2 linked regions of the Ovis aries genome follow. The protein of the gene in region 1 interacts with the protein of each later gene in a biochemical or structural test. Links are inferred from orthologs where the notes say so. Each region holds a gene or a part of one and is shown on either strand. Other genes may lie near its edges.

Region 1 (3,518 bases):
AAGGATCATCTGCTTTGATGTAAGAATCAATGGCTTCTTTCACCATTCCTTTCTGCAACTGGGCTTTTGCGAGCTGACTCCAGACTGCCGGTTCATTGCAGCGTTCAGCAAACTCATATGCCCGATCCAAGTTTCCAATATGTTCGATCAAGACCTAGGCAACCAATTCTTCATCAGTTATAGAACAATGAATCTTACCATGTAGCAATTACATTTAAACGGTTAGGATTTTATTGCTCTTCTATTACCACAGCAATAAATTATGCCCTTTCTCAGAGGACAATGCATACACTGAACCAAGAGAAGGCGTTACACAGGAAATCAGCTCGGGTAATGTGAAGGTTTACCTGCACTGCTGAGGTATTGACATCAAATTTCCGGAAAATGGCAAATGCTTCTTCAAAGAGCTCATTGCTGATGGCGATGTTGGCAATATCTGGGGCATCATAATTATCCAGGCGGTTAATGTACTCCATAACACGGGTACGGTCAGCCTTGATTGCAGTGAGGATGAGGAGGTTTTGCAGGTTCCTTTCAGAAAGAAAAATTTGAATGTAATATTTGGAAAGCTCATTAGTCATAACAAACACTGTAGCTATTAAGTATTCCATCTCAGGAGAGAGGGTCACAAGAGGGTATTAGAAGAGTGAAAATTAAGACAACATTCTCTAATATCTGTCTCTTTGTTCCTTTCCCAAACTGACAGGCCATAATTAAAGACTGAGTATAAAGAGCCAGGAAACCCTCTCATAGCATACCTGTGTTCACTGAATACAGAGTTATCAAGGACAATTTTCTCCAGCAGTTCAATGAGTTCATTAGGAAGGTCTGCAGTCATAAAGGCCTTGACAGTTACTGACACTTCCTCAGGGTCCTGAGTTTCAGACAAGGCTGTCTGTACAACCTGCAGAGGATATACAAAGAATAAGTACTGAGAGTCCAGGTGGTTTTGATGATATTATCTAATAAGAATAAGCTGGCCTCTCAGTAGAAAATGAAACAGGTCGAGAAGAAGGAATGAGATAAAATACCTTTAATTTACCACCCAAAGATCTTTCTACATAAATCCACATATATCTGTAACATGTATTTCCAATTTTTTTGTTGTGGGGGGTAGGGGTGCCTACTCGTATAATTTCTATCTTTTCCCTGATTAAAAATTATTCCTAATAACCACTCTTCATTATCACTTTAATGGTCACATAAAGTCCAACCATATGCATGTGGCATTATACACTCAGTAATGCTTCTGTTTATGGCTATTTGCATGGCTCCCAGATGCAGCAATGAGTATTTGCTCTAGGAAGCTTTGTATCAATTTGGGAATTTTCCTTAGACATGCTTCCAAGGAGAGGAATGAAAAACTGATACTCTTCAATTTACTCTCTTCCATATTCATACTTCTATTTATAATTTAAGAACCATTATTAACAACCTTCAATTTTTAAGGTTTTAAAAAATGTTTTCAATTATTTATATAGCTATAAACTCGCATCTTCTTTGCTTACTATTGAGACTTACTTAACATTTATCTACTAGATCATTCACCAGTCTTTATTCTTTGCTGATTTACCCTTGTCTTGAATGTTTCCAATCAATTTAATTACTTCTCAGGTATTTTTAACAGTAATTCTTACTAATTTTATTAAATGTCTGATTTACTGGTATCCTTTTAGCTATGATGAGTTGAGGGAGTCTTATGTAATTAAATTCTCTCCTTGGGGACGTATTTTCTTGGAGAAGATATACTTCATTTTTGTTAACATTTATATATATATATATATATATATATATATATATATTAGTATCATCTTTATTTTCTTCTGTCTTTTACTGCCATCTCTCACAGTTAAATATGATCCATTTGAGTATATTTGGTATATGATGAGGGAAAAGGTTTTATTTATAGTTAAAAAGATGAGCCTTGAATGCATTTGCAAATTTTACCTGATCAATGAGGGGTCTCCTATAAGGATTGCTTTCCAGCAGCACACTACCCCACAATTCTGGGTCCTTCCGCCGTACCAGATAGCGAGAAAGACTTTTGAAGAGGGAATTCTCATTGCAGACCTAAATGAGAAATTAAAGATTAATTTCAAGGTAAACAATAAAACCTTTCCACAGACTGACTGTAATTTTAAAAGGTTATATCCTATCATTATACCCTATTTAGTGTTTTATACCAAAAAAAAAAAAAAAATCCATTACTTCTACATGTAATCTTTAAAGTCACAACAATATTTTTCTTATTAAAATTCAAACAACAGAAAAAAGTTGTTATATTTTTGAAGGCTTTTAAAAAGCACCCTGATGGTAGATCTATATTTGGACTTTATATTTTACTCTACTGGCCTGTGTATTCATGCACCAGGATGCAATTTTTAATTATAGAGGTTTTGTAATGTGCTTTAACATTTGGTAAGGCTAGTCCACCTTCACAGCTTTCTTTCAGTGTTCATTTTCCCATGTGTATATGCATACATATGTTCATACGTGTATGAATTTGTATGTTCACAGATGCATACAGCTCTGATCACTCAAAGACCCTAGAAGGAAATACACCGTAGAGTCTAGATCTGGGTTTCTAATAGCACTCCCCACTGAACAAAATAAAAGTTCTTCACAAAAATGAATGATCCACGGCAGGGGAGGGTATAAAATGAGCATGGTATAACTTGCTGGGCAAGGAAACAAGATGTGCTCAAGAGCAATGAGATCATGACACAAAGCCATGAGAGGCAGGCTGATGGGATTTCTATCAGCCAAAAGGGAGGTAATTTGAAAATCAAAAACATGCATCATTAACCCATAGAACTCGTAAGTCCATGAAAATATGCACGTTGACTGATAAATATGGAGAAAATGATGAAGTTGGAAAATTGTCATTTTGCAACCAACACAAAAGAATAGCTTAGTAAGAATTAATAGATTCAAAATTGGGGGCGGGGACACACACAAATAGGATACTCACATGGTCTTAACTGTCTCCTCACAGACTACTTAATACCTCCAAGGGGAAACACATCTATAAGGGGAAATTTATTTCTATAATGGAGAAGCTGACAAGTTAATGAAAAGTGACCCTCAAAATGAAGGACTAAAGACATAAGGTGCTTTTGCATGTTACAGCATAAGAAAAACATCACTTAAGTAATGCACTTTGGATGGAAACATACAATCTAAATCTAATCAGGAGGAACAATAAGAGAAATTCAAAGCGAAGAACATTCTATTTTTTAAAGCGATTTTTCACTAATAAATATCCAGAATAGGTAAATCCAGAGACAGAAGGCAGTTTGGAGGCTGTCAGGGGCTGGAAGGAGGTAGGGAATGTGGGACAACTGCTTAGTGAGTACTGGATTTCCTCGTGTGGTGATGAACACTTGGAATAAGAACTCCGAACAAGAGAGATATAATGGTTACACAACACTGTATGTGTACTAACTGCCACTGAATTACTCACTTTCAAATGGCTAATGTTATGTTACCTTCAATAAAAAAAGAGAAAAAGACTATTT
Region 2 (3,518 bases), about 5.4 Mb from region 1:
GTGGCAGCTGTGATCTCAGTTCTCCAAGCAGGGGTGGAACCTGTGTCCCCTGCATTGGAAGGCGGATTCTTAACCACTGGACTGCCAGGGAAGTCCCTACAAAGTCTTAAATGATAGTTCCTTTATAGCAGGATAGAAATGAGCTTCATTTAATAACTGCTTGTCTAAACCTTTGATAAACAGATAAAAGACAAAGCCATGAATGCAATTCGATTGGCACAATTAATATCAGTTCTAAGACTACCATTCACCGAGCTGTCTGAAATGGCATATGGGCAGTCTTATCAGGGGCAACAGGATCAGCTGCTTATAAACTCCACATACAGCCAAGCCTCCACAAAGCCACATAAGCCACTAGACAAGCCCAACTGTTCAAGCTCAGGCTTTCAGAATCAGGCAGAATTCATGGGATTAATTCCACTTAGAGCTGAACCATCATCGACATACAGTTCAGTCCCCTTCTCTGTAAAATGAGGCTAAAAGATATCTCCACCTTACAATAACATTGCTAAGAATAAACGAACTATATATAAAGTGCTTAGAACTTAGAAAAAGTCATCAATAAATACAATCATTGCTATTGTTACCTGTTCTGGGACCAATGCAATAGTGGAGATCTTGGGGGCTACGGAAGGAAGAGCTGGTGCAGAAGGAACAGACGGTGGTGGATTCGGTGACGTCTATGAAACATGGAAATATTATTATTGGAATTAACTTGGCCACTGCAAGCCCATTTTTCCATTCAGATGACTCACTCACTAGGGAGAGTTAGCCCTCAGGACAAAGCCTTCACAAAGGTCAGACTTTGGTATACACATGAATTGCTTTTTCTACCAAGACAGGACTCACCAATCACAGAAGGGAAGAACTACTGATTTTACATTATGGAAAGAACTACTGTGTTTACATTATGTTTCTACATTACATTACAGGAAGCCAAGAGTTGACTTATAATCAGTCTCTCAAAGTGTTGTAAGTTCAAAACCTGGGAAGTTATTTACAGACTTGAGAATGAATACATGTGAACATGAAGAGACTCTTCTATGGGCACAGTATTGATAAACAAATTTATTACATGACTACCAACAGAGCCCCTTGCCGGTCTAGCACCAATCTTTTCTTTTGAAAACTGCCCCTACTCTGCTCTACCTAAACGATTTCTATATGAAGCCATCACATTCTTCCAAAACCTCACTTAACTTGTGCAGAAATGGAAAACTGACCCATGTTGGTTCAATGAGTCCTTTCTCTGCAATTTTGAGCTTTGAATCTGAAAAAGCTAAGGCTGCAACATGAAAATGTGGGAGCTATGTTGTCTACCATTAGCACCACCCAGGGAGCCCTGCGCAGAGTCAGACTGAAGTGACTTAGCAGGCACATGCATAGCAGGCCCCGCGTGTTGTCTACAACGTGAAGAAAACTGGTCTGCAAGGACAGAATAAGCTGATTGTCAAAGGGGAGCAGACAAGTAACGAGGCATTTGAATCTCAGTTCTCTGTTGTTACAAAGACCCAGCTAACACCAGCCTTCTTGTGGCCTGGTTATTCTCTGAAATCACAGATTCATCTTTCAGCTTAAGCTGGGTGGAGCTAGAGTCGTTCCTTTCAATGAAGAAAGACCCAAGCCCTTCACTGTCTTTCTCTACACAGGTCAAAAAGGGCCTCCTACCTCTTGTCTGGCTGTTTCAGTCTCTCCACCTGATGAAGGAAACTGAACCCCTTTCTTAAGGAGGTCCAGGTACACGTCTTTCACTTCACTGACATCCACACCTCCTGGGAAACCCTGCGACCATGTCTGAATTCAAGAGATGGAAAGTTTCAGAGATAAAAGAGCAGCAAAACAAAACACAATGACCAAAAAATCAGAGACTGACAATTATGAAGCTTACTCAGAATGCCATACTTTTGAATGCCATACACAAAATGTACATTTTTTGCAGGTTTTTTTTTTTGGGGGGGGGGGGATGGTGGTGGCAGTTACTTGTTTTTGGCTGTGTCAAACAGCAGGTGGGATCCTAGCTCCCCAAGCAGGGACTGAAGCCGTGCCCTTGGCTGTGAAGGTGCTGGACCACCAGCAAAGTCCAAAATGTCCATTTTTAGAGATTAGAATAATGTAAAATATTTTTAATTATCAGACTGCCAGGCCTCAACAATTTAGTGAAACTCTAGACTAGATACAATTAATAGACTCTAAAACACCATCTGTAGATCTTTTGCCAAATAACTGCAGGCAGTGAGTTATCGACCCGAGAAGATAGTTTCCACATCTGTAAAATAAATGTATACATCACTATCTCTTCTATCTGACATAGATAAAACAGAAACTGAGAGACAAATATGGAAAAGACTATAAATTCTTCAGAAAAAGGCCAGTGTCCAATGCCAAGAAATTATTACATGGAAAACAGAATAAAAACACTTTGAAGCTCAGTTCCAGGCTTATAAAGGATCACTGAACCAACTGGGAGTTAGGAAATTAAGCTTCTAATCTTAGACATTCACTAGCCCATAAGGTATATAACAGACTTACCTTAATGAAATTCAAGATTCTGTTCTGAATGTCTATTGGCAATGTGTATCTGGGATTCAGCAGCTTCACTAGACTATCTTTAACAAACTCCTTCTTCACAATCAGAGACTGGAAACTCGGACCACAGTTCTGTACGCACATGTCAATAAGCTGAAGGGAAAAATCAAACATTTTATCTCTTGGGCAAAACCACCTCCAAAGTACAAGAGAAAAATTGCTAAGTGATGATTTCCACCAGCACTCTAATTAATAAACAAAATTTGGTTATCCACTAAAATACATGGCAAAATGTTCGGTTCTGGGAATGTGAGGAAATTTAAGGCATAATGTAACTGCTTAGCAGACAGTCTTGTTGGGGAGCCAGGACACAATCATAAGAGAACTGGTAACAATGTGAGGTGGTAATGCCAAGGGCCAGTGGGAGGTGCAAACAAAGCCTGTTGGCTCTAGGCAAGCTGACATTTGTCCTAGTGTTTCCAGGAAAGTCCTGGTGAATTCCTATTGCCCCAGCTTTATTAATGACATCATCTCCTTTCACTTCCAAAAACATCCTTGCCTGGGTGAAAACTTGCACGGTTACTCCAGCTACAGACCTTTACAGGCAGACGTGACCATTTAGGGCCAGGTGTTTGAGACTTTTGTTTTTTTTTATTTAATAAAAAATTCTTCCATACATCAACATGAATCTGCCACGGGTGTACATCAGTTCAAAAAGGTGGTCCTAAGCTAGCCTTTGAAAAATGGTCAAGAAAAGGATAAATGCATATAAAGCGATAGTCTAGACAGGCAAATCATAAAAAAATTTATGTACAGGTGATGAACTGTATGAGCTGTGAGAAGGAAAACAAGTTTTCTGGTTTGTAGAGGCTTCTTTATATCGGCAAACTGGAGACCCTGGGGAACTGAATGGATAAAGTCTGGAGGGGCATCATCCAGACTGTGCAGAAAGTTGTGCGGCAATGTAAAGAATCTGGACGTTATTGAGAAGG

What was found.
Region 2: the proteins of CLTC (region 1) and TOM1L1 form a complex in vitro, tested with the Homo sapiens proteins (2 studies listed by BioGRID and IntAct). The link is inferred for Ovis aries from reciprocal best matches to the Homo sapiens genes CLTC and TOM1L1.

What each region holds. Positions count from the first base shown.
Region 1 is NC_056064.1:10,335,679-10,339,196, reverse strand, and holds part of CLTC (clathrin heavy chain 1), read right to left. Parts: intron 2,071-3,518; coding exon 1,948-2,070; intron 905-1,947; coding exon 759-904; intron 532-758; coding exon 348-531; intron 155-347; coding exon 1-154. UniProt on the Homo sapiens protein: Clathrin is the major protein of the polyhedral coat of coated pits and vesicles. Two different adapter protein complexes link the clathrin lattice either to the plasma membrane or to the trans-Golgi network.
Region 2 is NC_056064.1:4,891,387-4,894,904, reverse strand, and holds part of TOM1L1 (TOM1-like protein 1), read right to left. Parts: intron 2,680-3,518; coding exon 2,530-2,679; intron 1,795-2,529; coding exon 1,669-1,794; intron 681-1,668; coding exon 588-680; intron 1-587. UniProt on the Homo sapiens protein: Probable adapter protein involved in signaling pathways. Interacts with the SH2 and SH3 domains of various signaling proteins when it is phosphorylated. May promote FYN activation, possibly by disrupting intramolecular SH3-dependent interactions.